Linked DNA regions of Xenopus tropicalis. The protein of the gene in region 2 interacts with the protein of the main gene of each other region in a biochemical or structural test. Links are inferred from orthologs where the notes say so. Each region holds a gene or a part of one and is shown on either strand. Other genes may lie near its edges. The genes, in order: fgf8, fgfr1, anos1, fgf4, ncam1 and fgf6.

Region 1 (3,281 bases), on a different chromosome or scaffold from region 2:
ATCAAAAGGCAGACAAGAGGTGGGAAAGGAAAAAGAGTAACAAAGAGCAGATAAAAGAATCAAAAAGAAGAAAAGCTGAAAGGGAAAAAGGGGGTGTTTCGAATTCCATATATCTTTTTTTTTAACAAATAGGCGAATTGCCTTGCTATTATGTTCAATTACATGGTACAAGTATTTGGAATGTTAAGACACAGAGTTCAGGCTGCCCCATCGCTAAGCCCTGAAATCTTCATATTAGTCATGCCTACGATTTAACACCCAGAAACTTCCCTTTTAAACTTCACTTTCAAGCCTTTATTAGTTCCAAAGTTGTCTGCTTCAATAAGAATTTCACTCCTTGTAGGGCGAGGGGATCCAGGCATATTGTGAGGCCACCAGACACCTGCACATACCTGCTTTAGAATTCATTTTGCCTTTACCCACTTTCATCCGCCAGCAATTACAGATTCCACAGCCAAAGAACCCTCCTTTTCAATTACATTTTCATCTCTTGGTTTTTTTTTACCATCCAATATCATTTTCCCTGCGGTCCAATCATGAGCTAATGCTGCAGGTGTGGCAGGCATATTGTACTTTTACATCTCATGTGTTGACTATAAAGCGGTCAGATAGCTAATGCAGCAAGGGAGCATTTAGTGGTAAAAGTGTCCCAAGCCAAAGAAAACGTGCACCGTAAAAGGGACAATACAGCATCATAGAATGACTGACTCTTTAATAATTAAAAATAATCTATTTAAAAAAAAAACAGTTGTTACTGTGCAAGATCATTTATATACTGATAACAACTCAGGGACAAAAGTAATAGAAACAGAACTCACGTCACAGAAATAAATAAGAGCTTGCAATCTACTGGTATTCTCACAGATTACTCTAGGGGGCAGCAATGAGAGAATGCTATTATGGCCAAATAAACTACAACTTAACACCTAATACTTGGCCGCTTGTGTAATAGAGCATGCCTTTGTTAATTTTAAGGCTGCTTACTTTGGCAGTTAAGCTTGGCTCTATTTGTTCTGTAAGCCTATTGTGCAGGTCTATAGGTAAGTAGGGAATCAGCGTCTCATTTGCAATGAGTCGGAACTCAACAAATAAAACATAATAATAATTGTGATCATTAAAGGAGACACAAATACTGGCAAAATGCTATGTGAAAGTCCTGATGTGAGAGTCCTAATCAGTGTTCTGCTGCATTTATTTACTAAGGAGTCAATGAAATCGGATTTAGCATATGGGTCATTTCTACTTTTATTAACTTCAACAAGGAACCCGATCTCCCTAGTGCTACTATAAATGCTTATGGCTAGTTTATTGTGGTAGATATAAATATTTCTGTTATTCAGAATGCCCGTGTTGGTGTTGGCATCTCTACTTCTTCACTTCACCTGCTTGGCATTTGGTCATAGCACTGCTACTGCCTTAAAATAACCCATCAGCTAATCAGGTTTAGTTAGAGCTTTATCTTCCTTACCAGATGATGTTTCAAACATTTATGAACCAATAAATACCCAACAGTAGCTGTCTAGATTTTTCTCCAAATGTCACGGCCATGGCTGCCAATACTAAACTGCTTTCGGATAGGATCAATGTGTAATTGTATTGCTCATTTTATAATGTAGTAGTAACCTTATTTTCTTCTTGTCTTGCAGACTAGTGGGAGGGGCAAAGACTGCGTCTTCTCGGAAATTGTCCTTGAGAACAACTACACAGCTCTGCAAAATGTCAAGTACGAAGGCTGGTACATGGCTTTCACGAGAAGAGGCCGCCCTAGGAAAGGCTCCAAGACAAGGCAACATCAAAGGGAAGTCCACTTCATGAAGAGGTTGCCGAAGGGACACCACACCACAGAACCTCATAAACGTTTTGAGTTTATTAATTACCCTTTTAATAGAAGGAGTAAAAGAACTCGATACTCAAGTTCTCGGTAGGACACGGTTTCTCACTACGTTCCATAGACTTCAGCAAACAGACTACTCTATTCTAATATAAAATAAGAATAAAAAAGAAATCATGAACTGGCTGTTTTATATATATAAATATACATATATATATTTTTTTGTTTTTACAAAAGATGATCTATTTTTTTATTCCTATGAACTTTTTTTTTTTTTTTTTTAAAGAAAAGCGGATGAAATGTACGGACTTACAAAAAAATGTGCTCTTCATATAGATTTTAGTTGTTTTTTTTTAATAACTAGCAAACAAATGTTGTAGGTGAAGGCGGACCTGGGACCAAAAGTGCTACTTACAGACAAAAACACTTAACCAAAAGATAAATAAGGAACCGGTACTGGAAAACGGAAGAAGAACCTCGAGCAGGGTTCTTTTTTATTTGTTCAATTCTCTAAACTCCTTTTGCGGAAGAGTTGGGGTTTTTATTATAAATGCTTTTGATTATTTTTAAGAGCTGCTTTTTCATCGATTCAGTTTCCTTAATGGAAACGTAGAATGACCTGGTTGAAACAGGTTTCCGTGATGAGCAAGAATATTATGTTGTTGTTTTTTTTCTGCCAACAAGGACAAATCATCTTTGACATAAAAAAAAAAAGACCTCAAGACGTGCAACTGCATGACGATGAAATGAAATGCATCCCAGTGGTAGGAAACAGTTGTAAGAAATAGTGATGAACAGTAATAATATTGTTATTATTTTTAAAAAAAACACTGTACAAATGTCAGTTGTCTGGCAAGACCTTTGTCCTTTTTTTCAAGGATATGTGTACATATTAATATTAATGATGGAAATATTTATTTAAATGTGTATTAAAATTTGTACTAGTATTATGAAGGTGTTTGTTTCCTTTTTGTCCTTTCCTTGACGATAGGAGTACAAAATCCCCCTAAAACAGGTCTAGGCCTTCTTAAGAGGGGGCCATAGTGATAACTGCTAATTATGGTTGCACATTGTAGAATTTGGTAAGCTTCATTTTCTTTGGAATATATATATATATATATATATATATATATATATATATATATATGTGTGTGTGTGTGTGTGTGTATACAGGTAGCTAGAGAAAGAGAAGATATAGATTAGATAGATAGATAGATATATAGATAGTTTGAACTCAAATAAGTTTAGCTATATGGGTATATTGATGATTAATCTCAAAGTAAGAGAGATACTGTTCTATAAAAACATGGACAAAATTCTCTATAGTCTAACAACCAATAGTGTAACAACCAATAGTAACCAAGGAGCAGTCACTTTGCAGTTAGATGTCATAATATGAAAGCATCTGATTGGTTCCTATGAGTTACTTTAGTGGTGCAAAGTTTGACCA
Region 2 (4,133 bases):
ATCTATATATATAATTAAGGGCCCTCTACACTTCTCTGCCCTTCCGCAGCTGGCATACACATTTACTTGGTAGAGTAAATATATAAGGACCCTTTAGCAGAATGCTCGAGACCAAGGATAAGGGGTCTTTCTGTATTTTGGATCTCTCTCTCTATCTATCTATATATATAATTAAGGGCCCTCTACACTTCTCTGCAATTCCGCAGCTGGCATACACATTTACTTGGTAGAGTAAATATATAAGGACCCTTTAGCAGAATGCTCGAGACCAAGGATAAGGGGTCTTTCTGTAATTTGGATCTCTCTCTCTATCTATCTATATATATAATTAAAGGCCCTCTACACTTCTCTGCAATTCCGCAGCTTGCATACACATTTACTTGGTAGAGTAAATATATAAGGACCCTTTATCAGAATGCTCGAGACCTGGATAAGGGGTCTTTCTGTAATTTGGATCTCTCTCTCTATCTATATTTATATATCATTAAGGGCCCTCTACACTTCTCTGCCCTTCCGCAGCTGGCATACACATTTACTTGGTAGAGTAAATATATAAGGACCCTTTAGCAGAATGCTCGAGACCTGGATAAGGGGTCTTTCTGTAATTTGGATCTCTCTCTCTCTCTCTATCTATATATATTTATATATCATTAAGGGCCCTCTACACTTCTCTGCCCTTCCGCAGCTGGCATACACATTTACTAGAGTGGAGTTATAGTTGCACTACAGCTGTAAGCATCCACAACTAAAAACCCAGCCCTGCTGCTATTTTGTTGCATGCCTCCCCCATCTGTGCATCTGTCTGCTGTCTAAACACAAATAACTGCCCTCCTATTCACATGTACAGGGAAGGGGGGGGGGGCAAACAGAGAATTAACATAAGCCCTAGCGCTGCCCATTACATCTCATTGACTTCCTCTGGTTGCAGATGCCCAGATTCAGCCACAGTAGCAGCAGTAGTTTAGGATATAAAAGACTACAAGCCCCAGGGTGCACCGGGAGAAATCCGAGCGGGTGGGCGGGGCTTGTGCAAATGAAGCTCTGCTAGGGAGGGGCTGCAAATTCTTGCATGGGGGGATGGGAAGCGGAGTGTATTGTTAAGTCTCAATAAGAACTGACTCACTTCTCCGTGCCCAAGGAATCCCGGAGACTTGCCGTGCTCGCTGCTCATCCTTCCTGCACATTTTCTTTTTTCTGATACTATTTGATAGAAATTGGCCGGTTCCTCCATTCCTGCTCTCAGTTGCACTGGGAAAGCAACTTTTCATGTGGGATGTGAATCCTGCGCTGCGACTGCTGGAATTGTGCGATCCCACAACTTTTCCCTCTTGCTGGAATTCTCTCAAGGTGTCTTCAAAGCTGCACATTTCTCTCTTTCCTTCCCAGAGGGACACATGCTTCAAATTACTGCTGCTTTTAACTAAAAAGACTTTATTTTTTAAAGTTTTTCTTTTTTTATTTTAGCTCTTTTCTCTACAAACAGTGGATTCCTGGGAGAAATTTTAATTCACTAAAGTTACTGAAGACAATTTTTTTTTTAATTTAAAGATCACCCCCCCCCCCCAACTTTTTTATTATTTTAGTTATTTTTTTAATTTTATTTTTCCTACTAATATAAGGAATATACGTTGGACGAGTGGAGATAAGAAGAAATTGGAAAAACATTTGGGAACAGGTAAAAAAAAGCAAATTTTATGCCCTTTTCCTAATTGCCGTTGCCTGTTTAGCAGCTCGGGGGGGGGGTATATGTTCTTATTAGTTTCTAATTAGTATTCTTATTAATTTTATTAAGTGCCAACATATTCCGTAGCGCGGTACAACATAATGTTGTATACATTAATCATACACATTAATACAATTTAAAGGGCCTTTGCTCTTTAGAGCTTGCAATCTATACTTGTATTGCACTTTATGAAACTGATGACCCAAAAACTTGGATTTCCAGGGTAAATTTTTCTTTATAATGTAATTATAGCCATTTCAAACCTATTGACGTGACCCCCCCATTACAGTAAGATAGATATTTTGATAGTTAAAGGACCCCCTTTCCATTGCCAAATCAGGGTTGAGGCCAAAGGGGTATTTAAATATGGCCACCGTTATTTATCTGGGATGGCCAGTGGCCACGCTGTACTTTGTTTTGGAGGTATACATTTAACAAGCACCGTTCCATGAGTGCCGCTAAAGGGGTGTTGTGTGAGCGAGTGCTTTTGCTCGCTGTGTCAGTGCAACATATAATAAACCAGGAATTTCTGTGTAATTGAACGGCTTCAGCTGTCAGTGTATGCTGGGAGTTGTAGTACAACAACATCTGGGTAGTTGCAGGTAAAATGTTGGTGGACAGTTTACGTCTTTTTGGATTAGAGTCTCCCCCAGAAGTGGTTTTAAGGTTTTAGAATTCTCCAAAACAAGTTGAGTTTGTTTCCAGGATCCGTGTTGAGTGTTTAAGTCATTGACACCCCCTTCTGCTCTTTATCCACTGACTTGTAAAGGTGGCCATACACACTACAGTTACCATCTTTCCCACGACCATTGGCCATAGGAAAGATTGTTTGTCTACTGACATTAAGAGCTGAATTGTCAGATAAGCAGGTGAAAACAAAGGAATTCTTTACTCTTATCTGACGGTTCAGCGTTAATGTTACAATGTTCAAAGACGCACGGTCAAAATTTTCTATCCTGTCCGATCGACGAGGCGACCAATATCCAACGCTTTTATGGATATCGGTTGCCTTGACCGCAATACACACACACAGATTATCGTACTTCATTTCGTATGATAAAATCAGTGTGTGTATGGCCACCTTAAGTCATGTGTAATGTGTCATCCTATGATGCCACTGAGTCCTCTGACCTGCCTTCTCCGGTTGGCATATTCAGCCTGGCACACAGGACAATGTGGAACAATGAGGTTATTTGTTTCCAGGACCATTAAACTGAATGGTTTTCTTTTTATTTCCTTTGTAAATGTGCTTCTTGTTTGTTTAATGTATGGCTGGCCAAATATGGCTTTGGATAATTATAGTCAAATTAAGATAGGAGGTTGCCCTTCCTGCACTGATAATCTGTGCAAATATTTTTTGTTTGCCTACTGAGTTTAGGAAATGTAGCCCAGAAAGGGGGGCAGAAAGTTCAGAGTAGATGCCAAGCTTGTGGCTTTGCTTTGGTTCTGTCCAGATGCCCTCACTTGCTCACTGAAGGGTGCAGATGCCCTCACTTGCTCACTGAAGGGTGCAGATGCCCTCACTTGTTTGCTTGTAGGGTGCAGACGCCCTCACTTGCTCGCTGTAGGGTGCAGGCGCCCTCACTTGCTCGCTGTAGGGTGCAGGCGCCCTCACTTGCTCGCTGTAGGGTGCAGGCGCCCTCACTTGCTCGCTGTAGGGTGCAGGCGCCCTCACTTGCTCGCTGTAGGGTGCAGACGCCCTCACTTGCTCGCTGTAGGGTGCAGACGCCCTCACTTGCTCGCTGTAGGGTGCAGACGCCCTCACTTGCTCGCTGTAGGGTGCAGACGCCCTCACTTGCTCGCTGTAGGGTGCAGACGCCCTCACTTGCTTGCTGTAGGGGAGAGTAAGGAACATACTAAAAGTACAAGTGTTTGCTGCAGGGCTGAAGAAACATGAGGATAGGTTTCTAGAGCGGGGTACAGGGAGTTTCAATGTTAGTATGGTTTTAGATCCCGGAAAAAAACTGGAGCACAGGGAGAGAATTGACTCACCGTGGATAGTCTTGGTAGGTTGTGAACCCAGTACCCCATTGCTTTGAGGCAGTAATACCTCCATGTTGGTATCCTATCATATTAATGTTAAAAGATATAGAACCTACTTATTGCCCTGCTGATCTCGTTCGTGTCACAGTGAGTACTTCTAGACTCCCTGAATACTGACAGTTAATATCAAGGATCGTGACTCCCAAGTACAAAAACTACAAATAACAGCAGTGTCTGTACTGGAGTGGAGCTGAAGCGCCGCAGGTTGCCTTTATTTGCCCTGTTTTTTAGGATGTGCTGTCATTTTTGGATGCTTCGGCACAGGAAAACAAATAGCCTTGGCCGGGGTCATCAGGATCGGACATAGGAATCTGACCCAGGCTTCTAAGTGCATTGTCTCATCCCACTTAGTTCCCCATACAGATCC
Region 3 (3,500 bases), on a different chromosome or scaffold from region 2:
CAATGAGGGGACTGTGTCCGTTAGGATCACATGGGATCTCCCAGAGGAGCCGGATATCCCTGTGCACCATTATAAAGTCTTCTGGAGTTGGACAGCTAACAGGAAATCTGTCGTCCCAGCTAAAAAGAAAAGGAGAAAGACAACAGAAGGGGTAAAGGAAAATGGGTGTTTGTGAGATGAATAATATGAAATAAGTCTGCTTTGCTCCATGTAGAGGCTCACTTCATATCTTTTAACACAGTGATGTCCAATTTATTACAAGTTGTGAGCCGATTAATCCCATACCAAGCGTTCAAGGGCCAGATTATATTTAAATTATGGTGCCATAGAATGAAGTCTATAGAATCAGTCTCCTTTCTGGTGGATTTTATACTATAAATACAATGTAGCTATAATATCATTCATGGCTGGTGTCACTATAGGTGACTTTCTATTGAGTGTTGTCATTTAGACATACAGTATATACCTCCCATAGCCCTTTAACACAGAACCATAGCACAAAGGTGACAAATATACTTCACATTTATTTCAATTTCATAATAAATCCTAAAATAGAAGAAGGACCTTAATGGGCACCTATCACCTAAAAATAGTTTCCTCTGACAGAGGTTCAGACTAACAGAGCCCACACAATTTTTAGGTGATAGGTGCCCTTTAACATTAAGTAACCATTAAATGCTGGCTATAGAGTACAGGTATGGGACCCGTTATACAGAATGCTCTGGACCTGGGGCTTTCCGGATAAGGGATCTTTACGTAATTTGAATCTCCATACCCTAAGTCTACTAAAACATCATTTAAACCCAATAGGATTGTTTTGCCTCCAATAAGGATTAATTATATCTTAGTTGGGATCAAGTACAAGGTACTGTTTTATTATTACACAGAAAAAGGAAATCATTTTTAAAAATTAGAATTATTTGCTTATAATGGAGTCTATGGGAGATGGCTTTTCTGTAATTTGGAACTTCTGGATAACGGGTTTCCAGATAAGGGATCCTATACCTGTATAATAAAGCCTTGGAGAGCACAGTCTTCTTCAACATAATTGATTAAATATACGAATAAATATTTATAATTACAGTGTAAATGATAATAATAGTAGTAAAAATCCAATCCATGAAGGTAGTATATGTGTATGTGTGGGATTTTGTTGGTCAGGTTACTTCCTGACCCTCTGTACATGGTAGCTATGTGCTATGTGCTTTTTTAAAGATCGGCTTGGATCTGGAGTAATGAATTCTCTAGTGGGAAGTTTTATTACGTGCTTACCATAGAATTTTTTTCTTCTAGAGGCAGACGAGTGGCTTAATACATTCCCTTATATGTGTGGGTGCACATTTTAGTTAGTCATAGTGATGTAATGCCACAAGAAGGTGAACTCTTTGCTACTACATTTGTTATACACTAATAGGCTTTAGAAAATCAAAAGAATAGCGATGGAAATCCCTAAATCCACGCATTGTAAAGATCGGGACAATTGGGACTAAAGGGAAAGCTTACCTTAAAAAAACAAAACAGACTTTCAGTAATTACTAAAGAAATGTGTCATCCCTGCCGTACTTCTTTTGATGTCTGCTGCATCCGTCTTGTGATTTTTTTTTTTTTTTTTTTTTAAAGAAAATCAGTTTACATAGCAAGTACAGCCACCTTCAGTTCCGCTGTCCTAGAATTTGTTTATGACAGTTGTTACCCCTCATTAAATATATTATGATGCCATCATTAGTCAAAGGCAACATCAAAGAGGAAATGATATCCACTGATTCTTCCGCACAAGTTCCAAGTAATACAAACAGGGAGAGGAGTAGGCTCACTTTATGCTTTTGTTCATTAGTGCTTGCCTTAAAGCAAGCCTAGCAGTGCAGTCACTGGATTTCTGCGTCTCTTTGAACTGAAACATTCTTTTCTCACTGTATCTTTATTTTTGTGGCTGATTGTAGTCTCAGAACTCTGTGGCTTTGGACGGTCTCCAAGCAAATAGCAACTACATGGTTGAGCTGCAAGCCATCACCTATTGGGGACAAGTGCGCCTGAAAAGTGGCAAGGTCTCACTCTACTTTTCCACCAGCCCCCCAAGCACAAGCTGTAAGTACTGATAATCTGGCATCATGGATCATATCTGATTTTAATGACGAGGGATAAATATTTATTTGCATTAGTGTACCTGATGCCTTATTGATTTGTTTCTTTGCACTGCATATCTCAGTAGACCCAATGGAAGTAATTGTATAAAAGGTGCTAACTTGCTAATGGTCTAGTAACCCATAATGACCAATCAACAGGTAGCATGTATTGGTTTTTAGACATCTAATTGGTTGTTGTGGGATACTAGACCTAGGCAAATTTGCTTACTCTTAAGGTGTCCAAAACTTGTTAAATAATCACATTTCTATCTATTTTCTATCTGTTTAAGTGTTTTATCCATATAAACGGACAAGAGAGCTTATATGCTTATATAGCCCTAATGACTTACCTCTTACCTTAGGCCAGCACAGCTCCTCAGGCCTTCTCAAAAGTGCAGCAGCCTGGGCTTTATTTTGGTAGAGCAGGCTGACTGAAAAACAGGGGCAAGATACCTACTACCCACCCTGCAGACAACTAAACCACTACCTACTGGGTTTAAAACACTTGTTAATTGTAATATATGTATATAGCACTTAACAATGTTTTCTTAAAGGACAAGGCAAGTCTGAGTCACTGGGGCAGTTGCTGTTCTGCAGTAAGGGCTCCCACAATCTTCCTTCAACTTCTCTGTCATGCCCTGCATCTTATTGGCACAGTATAGAATGTTATGCTGTGTCTTAAGGAGGAACATAGGGCTGTCACCTGGCAAGTATTTCACCAGCCTAGCTGGTCAGTGTTACAAATGTAGTGGCCCCCAAAACCTTCTTCCAGCTCAGGCATATACTCCATGCTCCATAAATGTCTGCTATACAGCCCCCAAGTTGCCTCCATCCCCCTTTGCATCATTGCCCCTTCCTTTATGGGATTGTTCTGCCCAAGGGCCTGCCCCTCTCAGAGTGACTGGAATTTTTAAACTGCAGAAAGGTGGCAACATAAGTGGTACATGGGGGAAGATGGCAGCAGCCTACTCTGCACAATAACACCCTAGCTGGAGGGCTATAAAAGAGGAGGAGGAGTGTTGGCCTGGGTTAGGAGGCAAGCAAGTAGAGACACTGGGGGGTGCCCAACAAACTGGCAGGGCCAGAACTAGGGGTAGGCAGAAGAGGCATGGCAACGATGGGGTTCCAGGCATATATGTCTGCTGCCTGCCTTCCCCCTACTCTGGGCCCTTATCCCTCACTGCCCCCTCAACACTAGTACCTGTCCCCTGCCATGTACCCGCATGCTTTCCCCCACTGCTAGGCCTGGCACCGCCAACTGGCACCAACCTTCAGTGTCTCAGGCTTTTCCTTATCTTTTAAGAAAAGATTGTTAAACTCCATATACAAATATTAAGTGTTCTAAACTGTTCAGCAAAGGCCACTGGTGCAGAAATT
Region 4 (4,076 bases), on a different chromosome or scaffold from region 2:
TCTGTAAAAATGCTGGTCAAGAAATGAATACATAAATATGAGAGAGGAGTATTTTACTGGCCAAAAACCAAAATATCCCACCTGTTTTTAGAAGGTATTTCACAATTACCTTAGATCTCTTTTAAGAGTAACTGGCGTGGCACAAGGTAAATAGGTGTAGGACATATTATAAAACTGGGAGAGGAGTTTGGGGTGGGGGGAATAAAAAGTGGAGGAAGAAGTATCAAAGCAGTAAAAAGCAGGGGCTGCAGCACCGGGCATTGTGGATTGCACAGCTAGAAATCTGAATGCTGTGTTTGCTAAGGCTGGGGGCAGCCCCCAGGTTTTCACACCTATACACAGGCCAGTAGCTATCCCCAGGGCAGGCACGCTCGTTCCAGCTCTCTGTGGAAGTGGCTACTTGTGGATTCAGTCTGAGGTTTGCAGCTTAACAATAACCTGATATTGTTGTTGTTGTTGTTAAAACACACTTTTTGGAAAGTTTCTCCTTCCTGAACGAGTTTCCCGAGGTCTTCCAATGTAACCCTTTCATAACAGCCCCATTGTGCATTTTAGTTATATATATATATTACAAAACAAAGTAGTCATTTAATTAGTTTCTATTCATTTAAGATGCAATACTGACTACAGTTTTCAAAACAACTGCACATATTTTCTTGGATAAAAACTTTTGGACAGTTCTCCTTCTTAGTTTCACTTTGCTGTTTGAGAAACGTTTATTTCTCTAGATAAATATCTCAGAGGATAGTGTTTCTTTTTATAAAGTGAATCTGTGCAGGGCAAAGCGTGCAGGGTGTGCATGGAGGGGGGCAACCTGCAAGGAGGGCTATCTGTAGCCGGCTGAAAAGCCTGGCATTTGTGCGAGGGTCGTGCAATAGTGATCCCCAAACACTCCTCTTCATTCTTTCGGTGTACACAGTGTGGTGTCTGGGCTGACAGCTTGGAGATGAGCAGGAGCTGGTGATGTAATAGGTAGGAAGCAGATGGATATAAATATCGTGGACAGGGGTAAAGTGCTATGGCTGAGCTGTTGGGGAAGATCAACACTTCAGACAAGTCCACGGCAAGTTAACGACAAGTTGAGATCAAGTTCGAATAAACTTTCCTTGAGTCAAGCCCCTTTTAGAGAAGTCTCCATGCAAGCTAAGAGAGCAAACCACACCTCCTTTGGGAGCTAAGCAGTTGCTTACTTTGATCTAAGTATAAGTGGAGTTGGAGTTGGAGGTATTTTTAGAGCAATTGACTCCTTAAACCACGTGTGCCCACGTTGATCAGGATGACTGTTCCATCGGCCCTGGTGCCAATCCTGCTGCTGGGAATGGCTGCCGTTGTGGTGCAGGGCTTGCCGCTCTCTTCTTCCCTGAGGAATGACACCCTGGAACGGCGATGGGAGACCCTCTTTTCCAGGTCCATGGCTAGGATCCCAGGGGAAAAAAGGGATATGAGCCGGGAAAGTGACTATTTGCTGGGCATCAAGAGGCTGCGACGTCTCTACTGCAACGTGGGCATCGGGTTTCATATCCAGGTTTTACCGGACGGAAGGATAAATGGCATGCACAATGAAAATCGATACAGTAAGTATTGATTTTTTTTCTTTCCCCCTGTTACATTATTTTGCTCAAACATAGGTCATATTAATGGAGAAATAGTGACATTGCCTGCAACAGGAAGGTCAGCTTACCCCGGCAATTTCCTAACGAGCCGCTCATTTTAATATGCCATTCATTTTCATGGAATGATCAATCTATAGCTCGGAAATCTTAGCCGAATAGTATATGTAATTTCACACGTGGCTGCCTTGGCGTGTCCTTTCATTAATAACCGGCATATTTTTTAACCTTTTCTCTGCTGCCCATTGTTGCCCGAGTGAGTGATCTTCTTCTGACGCCCGAAATTCATCTGTAAAAAAAAAACAAATCAAGCTGCGTTTAATGTGGAAAATAAAGTTGTGACAGGGAAGCGACCCGTCGTGGGGAGCCAGTTATGCTTGGCAAGCCAAGGGCATGTGTCGCCGCTGCTGGATTAGTGTCAGGGAAGCTGCAGTCCTTTCTTGTCTGTACAATAATGCTTCTATTTTAAAGAGAGGGATTTCAGGGCTACGATATTCATTTGGATAACTCGGCGGGAACTAATGACAGATTAAGGAGCAGTGATTAACACCCTGGGATTTATACTGCTAGAAAAAGAGATTAAATGTCCTATACGGTTTTTACCCTAAATTTCACTATTTAGGATGAGTTTGTCCAAGCTCTGAAATAATTTAACATAAATATTATCCATAAACCTGTTCTCCAGAAATATCCCAAATACAGGAATGCAATTTCTTATGTTTTACTTGTTCCTGATAGTAACTAAGCTGTGTAAATCCACATTGGTGGCTAATAATCCTGTTGGGGTTTTGAAATGTTTTATAGATATGCATTGGTGTAAGGTGATTTTTGTGTTTTGAGAGGCTTTTTAAGCACATTTTCCACATAGATTCCTTTATAGTATCCCATGGCCAGTTCAGTGTATAATACCCCAGAACACACAGCAGGATAAATACAGTGCCAATTCCATGTATAATACCCCAGAACACACAGCAGGATAAATACAGTGCCAATTCCATGTATAATACCCCAGAACCCACAGCAGGATAAATACAGTGCCAATTCCATGTATAATACCCCAGAACACACAGCAGGATAAATACAGTGCCAATTCCATGTATAATACCCCAGATCACACAGCAGGATAAATACAGTGCCAATTCCATGTATAATACCCCAGAACACACAGCAGGATAAATACAGTGCCAATTCCATGTATAATACCCCAGATCACACAGCAGGATAAATACAGTGCCAATTCCATGTATAATACCCCAGAACCCACAGTAGGATAAATACAGTGCCAATTCCATGTATAATACCCCAGATCACACAGCAGGATAAATACAGTGCCAATTCCATGTATAATACCCCAGAACCCACAGCAGGATAAATACAGTGCCAATTCCATGTATAATACCCCAGAACAAACAGTAGGATAAATACAGTGCCAATTCCATGTATAATACCCCAGAACACACAGCAGGATAAATACAGTGCCAATTCCATGTATAATACCCCAGAACACACAGCAGGATAAATACAGTGCCAATTCCATGTATAATACCCCAGAACCCACAGCAGGATAAATACAGTGCCAATTCCATGTATAATACCCCAGAACACACAGCAGGATAAATACAGTGCCAATTCCATGTATAATACCCCAGAACACACGCCAGGATAAATACAGTGCCAATTCCATGTATAATACCCCAGAACACATGGCAGGATAAATACAGTGCCAATTCCATGTTTAATACCCCAGAACACACAGCAGGATAAATACAGTGCCAGTTCCATGTATAATACCCCAGAACCCGCAGCAGGATAAATACAGTGCCAATTCTATGTATAATACCCCAGAACACACAGCAGGATAAATACAGTGCCAATTCCATGTATAATACCCCAGAACACACGGCAGGATAAATACAGTGCCAATTCCATGTATAATACCCCAGAACCCGCAGCAGGATAAATACAGTGCCAATTCTATGTATAATACCCCAGAACACACAGCAGGATAAATACAGTGCCAATTCCATGTATAATACCCCAGAACACACGGCAGGATAAATACAGTGCCAATTCCATATATAATACCCCAGAACCCACAGTAGGATAAATACAGTGCCAATTCTATGTATAATACCCCAGAACACACAGTAGGATAAATACAGTGCCAATTCTATGTATAATACCCCAAAACACACAGCAGGATAAATACAGTGCCAATTCCATGTATAATACCCCAGAACACACAGCAGGATAAATACAGTGCTAATTCCATGTATAATACCCCAGAACCCACAGTAGGATAAATACAGTGCCAATTCCATATATAATACCCCAGAACACACAGCAGGATAAATACAGTGCCAATTCCATGTTTAATACCCCAGAACACACAGCAGGATAAATACAGTGCCAGTTCCATATATAATACCCCAGAACCCAAAGCAGGATAAATACAGTGCCAATTAT
Region 5 (3,500 bases), on a different chromosome or scaffold from region 2:
TTTAAGTGAATTTCCTGACAGTATAAAGCATGTATGAAGCAGTATTAAAAACATGAACTACAGTGCATATTATATTTCATCTACTTATGTTGTTCTAGTTTATTTATCTTTGTGTGTTTACAGTAACATAATATACGTCTGATCCCATGTAAATATGAAACCTTAAAACATTATAATCAGTTAAACATTTTGTACCATTTCTGAAACCTTCAGGTTGCTCCGCCATATTCCCCTCTCAGCAATCTGTATCTCTTTATGGAGCTCTAGTTCTGAGTCAGTTATTTAGAAACACATGTGTAATACATTATCTAGGCAAAGGAAGCACCTACCAGTGATGTATTAGAGATAACTGTGCATTAAAAAAACAACTCCAACACAAGCCTATATTTTAGCATAAGAGATTTCTTGGGGGGGGGGATACTAATGAATATCTTGATTATTTTGACATGGCACATAATCTTTAAATTTACGTAAATTGAGATACTTTCTTATTTCTATGCAATGAAACTTATTTTAGATTTTGTTTTCGTGATAGATCCCCTTTCCTCTTGATGCTAAAACATTCTGTTTAAGAGCACTTTGCAAACATGGCGTTATTGGTTAAAGATAATTCCCCATAGCGTGATATAGCACCTACATCGTTGGCAGGGTTAAATATCCCATTATGTTAATATTAAGACTACACTTCTGAGAATCTTTTCCTCCAAATACTCTTTTATATTACCCTGTAGCTACTGAGCTAAAATCAATAAGCATCCCTGGTGGCCTAAGGCTCTTAGGAGGATGTTAGGAATTGTTAGTTCAGGGCTTATAATGGAGGACAGGTATGGAACCAGTTATTCATTGAATGCTTGGCACCTGGAGTTTTCCGGGAAGGGGATCTTTCTGTAATTTGTATCCCTATACGATATTAAAAAAGCATGCCATAGTAAAAAATAATTAAAATATTAATTATACCCAGGAGGATTGTTTAACCTCCAATAAGGATTAATTATATCTTAGTTGGGATCAAGTACAAGGTACTGTTTTATTATTACAGAGAAAAAGAAAATAATTTCTAAAAAATTGAATTAACTAAAATGGAGTTTATGGGAGATAGCCTTCCCAAAATTCAGAACTTTCTGGATAATGGGTTTCAAGAAAACAGATCCCATACCTGTACTAGGCACATCATTCACTTATGTTAAAGTTATTAAAAGCGTACTTAGCAAAAACTTGTCTGGATCTGTATTTCACTTCACCAGGCTCCCTTTTACATGTCACTCAGGAAGTCTCTAATATGAAATGTTATTTAGAAAGAAGTCAGAAAAGAAGGATTTACAGCAAATTCTTGTCAGTATATGGCATATGATATTATTTTGGCAAGCCTGATATCCTCAGATCATAAACTGGAACTGCTCCAAAAGTGTATTTAAAGAGAATGTAAAACTGACCCTTTTGTGCCCCATTCCTCTCCAGTGAGCATCATCATCTAAAATATTTAGATTACTCTGATTTCAGTTATTGCATTAATCACACGTCAAATGGCAAATATAGAGCATCCTTCTGCAATAATTGTATGGAGCCAGCTAGGGCAGTCCAATGTGAATGAGCTAGACAGAATATTTATTAGAGGATTCATTTGTATCAAATGGGACACTGGTCCTAGAGAATGTGCAAAATGTTTTAATGTGCCTCTTTTGCTGATGAAGTACAGCTCAAATTATATGGTAACTTGATAACAAGCTGAAGAATACAGGGAGATATAGCCTAGAGGAGCAATACTGCTGTGGAAGGTTTATGTACCCTTTAACATGCAGTAATCTGCACTATAAACAGTGTTAATAGATGTTGATGTTGGTAATCAGATCTGTATCTCAGCTTAACTGACTCATACAAGAATTAGCAGCCCATTTCTGTGTCACAGACGTTTAATATCTAGAACATATGACTATTAAGCATTAAAGTGGACCTGTCACCCAGGCATAAAAAGCTGTATAATAAAAGTCCTTTTCAAATTAAACATGAAACCAAACTAATATTTTTTATTAACACATCCATACCCATTATAAAAGCATTTAAAAATCCCAGCTGTCAATCATATATTGCCTGACCCGCCTCTATGCCTAAGGCATAGAGGTGGCGCAGACAGTTACTTTCACTTTGAATTCAGAACTTCTTAGATGTTGCTGCTCTCCTCATATTCCCCCTCCCTCCTCACCATCTAATTTTGTAACCAGTGCATGGACATGGGTATCAGACCCCCCCCATACTGGCACAGAAACAAGATTTTGGCAAGATACAAAGCTTGCCTTAATAACAGTGTCCACAAAATGGCGACTGTCTTCTTGCTGCAATTGTGAATTCCAAGGCTAAAGATAATAAGATTAAAATAAATTTTATAGTGTAAGTGAAGGTTATTTTACTTGACAAACACAATAGAAAACAATTTGGAATTATTTCCCACATTAAATGTGGCACTGATATGCTGAATTATAAAATTGAGTCTTGGAAAAAAAGATGGAATCTTTTCATCTTTTGTTTAACATATGAACCATATATATATAGTATATAGTACAGAAGTGCATTGTGTATTTCTGGTCCCTTCTACATGAAGAACATACACTATAGTATTGTGGAATGAGGGCCTTAGAGCAGTATTCTTAGTGCCACTTTCAGTGGGGTAGCAGATGGGTATTTTTGTGTTTATATAAGCTGCCCCTTTGTACTGTGTAGGTGCATCATTGCACAAGACTGTAGCATTCAGTAAGCCCATGTGTTATTGATCTACTCTCATATTTGTTCTTACCTTCTCTTTCTCTTGTTTGCTTATAGGAAGACCCAAGTAGAAGAAAATTCTAAGCCAGAGGAAACAGATGTCAAGAGCACCCCAGCAGAAGTCAAAACAGTCCCCAATGAAGCCACTCAAACAAATGTGAATGAGAGCAAAGCATGATTTGTCCTTAGAGTTTGGGGGTGGGCGTTATTGGGGAATGGTCAGTGGATACTAAAAATTATGTCTGAAGAGCCTCATGCTAGCCATTTAAAGAATGAGGCACACACACTTCATCATTCCTCTCAATCTTGGCCTTTGTTGTTATTATTTTATTTTTTTATGAAAACCATTTTGTTTTTGTGAGATTGTAGAAAGGGTTCATCTATTGTGCTAATGCATTTTTTTAAAAAGAAAGGGGTAAGTTAGATCAATAAAGCCCCATGCAGCGCCATCAGAACGGCAACTATGCACCACTGCATTCTTTAGCAAATATTTACCATCAAGAAGCCAGGTCAAAAACATTACACTGAACCTGTGTTAGACCATACGCTAAATACACAGAAGAAGAGTTTGTATTTAAACCATCATCTTCAAGTGCATTCACTTAGTAGGTAAATAAACTGAAGAGGAAAAAAAAGTTATTAATTGTTGTATTTGTCCTGAAAGTTTGGGTGATGGGGTATATGACTAGCCTGCAATACATTTCTCTACTTGTAAATGTACCTGTTTAAGAGCAGAGGCTCCA
Region 6 (3,500 bases), about 120 Mb from region 2:
ACCCAATAGGGCTGTTCTGCCCCCAATAAGGGGTAATTATATCTTAGTTGGGATCAAGTACAGGTACTGTTTTATTATTACAGAGAAAAGGGAATCATTTAACCATGAAATAAACCCAATAGGGCTGTTCTGCCCCCAATAAGGGGTAATTATATCTTAGTTGGGATCAAGTACAGGTACTGTTTTATTATTACAGAGAAAAAGGAAATCAATCTTAAAACTGTGAATTATTTGATTAAAATGGAGTCTATGGGAGACGGGCTTTCCATAATTCGGAGCTTTCTGGATAATGGGTTTCCGGATAAGGGATCCCATACCTGTAGAATATGCAAACTATGGTCTTGCAGGAAAGTATATTGTCCCTTGTATTTTTCATTGGTTTGTAGTCATTTCTGTATGTATATTTTGATGTAAATATGCCAATAACATAAATAACATTAAGCTTTTTCATTTGCTTAGGTCTGTTAGAAATTTCAACTGTAGATCGAGGGATTATTAGCTTGTTTGGTGTGAAAAGTGACCTGTTTGTGGCTATGAACAGCAAGGGGAGAATGTATGCTTCGGTAAGTAAATAAACCCCTTTACCTGTAAAGGCGAGAACCGTTTTTTGCTGGGGCCGGGCATTTCATTAGATTTATTTATTTGACAGGGTTCAAACAAGAGTTTTAACAACAAAATTAATTATATTGTATTAATGATACATTAATACATTAAATATTGATATTTTCTCAGTAAGCATTTTCTACTTTGATACCCTTTGATAACATTATTCCATAATTCTAGTAGCTCTACAGAAATGTATGCCATTTGTTTTTATCCTTCTCTTTCCACTCCCTCCTACTCCAACAAGGTTTTAGATAAATTTGATATGATCGTCACTGGGCATTAAACACCTAAACAGCACTTGATCTGCCCTCCTGGAGTCTGATTACAGTGTAATATCGGCAAGCCAAAGTAGCATAAATATTGGGTAACGTCAATATGACAAACATACAGTAGCTCTAGCTCATAGGGATGATCCTTTTGCATCTGGAATTATAAGTCTAATACGTTTGAGGGAAGGTTTGCTTACCCTTTACCCCATGTAGAATTGATTTCTATCCCCTGTTAATGTGTTGGCTTATACTGGGATAAAACTCAGAATGTCCATGAACATTTAGGTATGTCATGCAACCAAAAATAAAATAGTTAGACCTGGCAACATGGTTAGAGAGATCCTTATGCCCAAGTCATACACTCAAACAATGGGTAGACAGACATTGCAGCTTAGGGTGCTTTTAATTATTAGCTCACCACGAGTTAAACTGAAAAGATAATATAGTAATAGAATATATTTTATATTTACAAAGTATAGTCTGGTGTTTGATACTGATGTCCCAATACAGTCATCCCACCATAAGCTGCCTTCCCATTGTTACAGGGGCTATCCCTAACCATGCTATCCCTAACTGCTATGTTGGTATTATTATTATTATTAACATTTATTTATAAAGCGCCAACATATTCCGCAGCACTGTACAATAAGGTATGCATAGATCTTTATAGTGAGTGTGTTTTACAGGTAGATTTGGTTTGTCCAGGTAGTCTCTCTTTAGAGAGAAGTGGTCACTTATGGTTCTGTCTGGGCCTTAAGCTGGCCACACATGTGTAGATTTTTAAAAGATCTTATTGTAGGATCAAGCTTTTCTTGAAACGATCATTTAAAAATACAATTTGTCCATCAACGAAAAGACCATTTCAAGACATAGGGGCACATTTACTAACCCACGAACGGGTCGAAATGAGTCCGATTGCGTTTTTTTCGTAATGATCGGTATTTTGCGATTTTTTTCGTATTTTTTGCGATTTTTTCTGCGTCTTTACGAATTTTTCGTTACCAATACGATTTTTGCGTAAAAACGCAAGTTTTTCGTAGCCATTACGAAAGTTGCGTAAAATCTGGCGATTTTTCGTAGCGTTAAAACTTGCGCAAAAAGTTGCGCTTTTTTCGTAGCGTTAAAACTTACGCGAAACCTCGCACCTTTTAAGTTTTAACGCTACGAAAAAGGCGCAACTTTTCGCGTAAGTTTTAACGCTACGGAAAAATCGGGCGATTTTACGCAACTTTCGTAATGGCTACGAAAAACTCGCGTTTTTACGCAAAAATCGTATTGGTAACGAAAAATTCGTAAAGACGCCGAAAAAATCGCAAAACATACGAAAAAGTCGCAAAATGTTCGTTTTCAAGTCGGAACTTTTCCAATTCGGGTCGGATTCGTGGGTTAGTAAATCAGCCCCATATTGTCTAGTTGAAAGTAGGAAAAATGCCTGCTTGGGCCTGCAAACTATTGGACAATGGACAAATATGTTCTGTAAAAGACAAAAAATTATTATTATTACTATTATTATTATTACTACTACTACAGGTATAGGACCCATTATCCAGAATGCATGGGACCAAGGGCATTCCGGATAAGGGATCTTTCCGTAATTTGGATCTCCACACCTTAAGTCTACTAAAAAATCAATAAAACATTAATTAAACCCAATAGGAATGTTTTGCATCCAATAAGGATTATTTCTATCTTAGTTGGGATCAATTACAAGGTACTGTTTTATTTCTACATAGAAAAAGGAAATCAGTTTTAAAATTCTGAATTATTTGATTAAAATGGAGTCTATGGGAGACAGGCATTCCGTAATTCGGAGCTTTCTGGATAAGGGGTCCAATACCTGTACTACTAATACTACTACTACTACTAATAATAATAATAGTAATAATAATAATTTCAGAATGGTTTTGTCGGCTCACACTGAAATTGTCCATTAAGTAAAGAAAGATCAATACATGTATGGCCAGCTTTGAAGTATAAACAGAGTTCATAATCCAATCCCTGAACAGGCCAGTAATCTGTGAATCCACATCCAGATGTATTTAAGAGTGCAATAAATATACATCCCAACATGTTAAGGAATCAACTTGCTTGATCTCTAATGGGCAATCTGTACAGTATCCTGCTGTTCATTTAATATAGGAGAGTAAAAATGTATATCAATATCCCTATTAGATTTAAATCTGAAATGCATTATTTTAGGATTATTATGGTAAAACCCTTTTTTATGTGTAAACTACAAGTGTTCCACCTACGTTGAAGAGAGCTGGGACATGCAATGGAAATGTTTCATATTCCAATAAAAGCAGAGGTAAACCTACATTAAAACTGACTCCTTAGTTCTTTAAAGCATCCCAGACTTTATTATAGATACAAGTAGACTTATATTACCTCCTATAAGTCTATGTATATTATTTTTGTTGGATACTGTTGCATTAGACAAATCAGGGCATCAGGTTTGAATCTGTATTATGTGATTTGTTGATATTTTCTTTTAAGTAGCTTGACAATCAGGTACAACTTAGCCCATATATGTGCATGGAACCCAGTTTGTTTTTCCATTTATTGAGCTATTGGATAACATTGCTGGGGTCTTGGGTTTAATTCCAACCTGGTCAATGCAAAGTC

The links.
Region 1: the proteins of fgfr1 (region 2) and fgf8 interact in a biophysical measurement, tested with the Homo sapiens proteins (2 studies listed by BioGRID and IntAct, with this or other methods). The link is inferred for Xenopus tropicalis from reciprocal best matches to the Homo sapiens genes FGFR1 and FGF8.
Region 3: the proteins of fgfr1 (region 2) and anos1 form a complex in vitro, tested with the Homo sapiens proteins (3 studies listed by BioGRID and IntAct, with this or other methods). The link is inferred for Xenopus tropicalis from reciprocal best matches to the Homo sapiens genes FGFR1 and ANOS1.
Region 4: the proteins of fgfr1 (region 2) and fgf4 form a complex in vitro, tested with the Homo sapiens proteins (2 studies listed by BioGRID and IntAct, with this or other methods). The link is inferred for Xenopus tropicalis from reciprocal best matches to the Homo sapiens genes FGFR1 and FGF4.
Region 5: the proteins of fgfr1 (region 2) and ncam1 form a complex in vitro, tested with the Homo sapiens proteins (2 studies listed by BioGRID and IntAct). The link is inferred for Xenopus tropicalis from reciprocal best matches to the Homo sapiens genes FGFR1 and NCAM1.
Region 6: the proteins of fgfr1 (region 2) and fgf6 interact in a biophysical measurement, tested with the Homo sapiens proteins (2 studies listed by BioGRID and IntAct, with this or other methods). The link is inferred for Xenopus tropicalis from reciprocal best matches to the Homo sapiens genes FGFR1 and FGF6.

Annotation. Positions count from the first base shown.
Region 1 is NC_030683.2:31,011,694-31,014,974, reverse strand, and holds the end of fgf8 (fibroblast growth factor 8 precursor), read left to right. Parts: intron 1-1,646; coding exon 1,647-1,925; 3' UTR 1,926-2,781; downstream 2,782-3,281. UniProt on the Homo sapiens protein: Plays an important role in the regulation of embryonic development, cell proliferation, cell differentiation and cell migration. Required for normal brain, eye, ear and limb development during embryogenesis.
Region 2 is NC_030679.2:130,941,367-130,945,499, forward strand, and holds the start of fgfr1 (fibroblast growth factor receptor 1 precursor), read left to right. Parts: upstream 1-1,333; 5' UTR 1,334-1,675; intron 1,676-4,133. UniProt on the Homo sapiens protein: Tyrosine-protein kinase that acts as a cell-surface receptor for fibroblast growth factors and plays an essential role in the regulation of embryonic development, cell proliferation, differentiation and migration.
Region 3 is NC_030678.2:36,380,915-36,384,414, forward strand, and holds part of anos1 (anosmin-1 precursor), read left to right. Parts: coding exon 1-151; intron 152-1,940; coding exon 1,941-2,085; intron 2,086-3,500. UniProt on the Homo sapiens protein: Has a dual branch-promoting and guidance activity, which may play an important role in the patterning of mitral and tufted cell collaterals to the olfactory cortex. Chemoattractant for fetal olfactory epithelial cells.
Region 4 is NC_030680.2:12,804,609-12,808,684, forward strand, and holds the start of fgf4 (fibroblast growth factor 4 precursor), read left to right. Parts: upstream 1-1,276; coding exon 1,277-1,574; intron 1,575-4,076. UniProt on the Homo sapiens protein: Plays an important role in the regulation of embryonic development, cell proliferation, and cell differentiation. Required for normal limb and cardiac valve development during embryogenesis.
Region 5 is NC_030683.2:86,597,093-86,600,592, reverse strand, and holds part of ncam1 (neural cell adhesion molecule 1), read left to right. Parts: intron 1-2,814; coding exon 2,815-2,935; 3' UTR 2,936-3,500.
Region 6 is NC_030679.2:11,182,397-11,185,896, forward strand, and holds part of fgf6 (fibroblast growth factor 6 precursor), read left to right. Parts: intron 1-459; coding exon 460-563; intron 564-3,500. UniProt on the Homo sapiens protein: Plays an important role in the regulation of cell proliferation, cell differentiation, angiogenesis and myogenesis, and is required for normal muscle regeneration.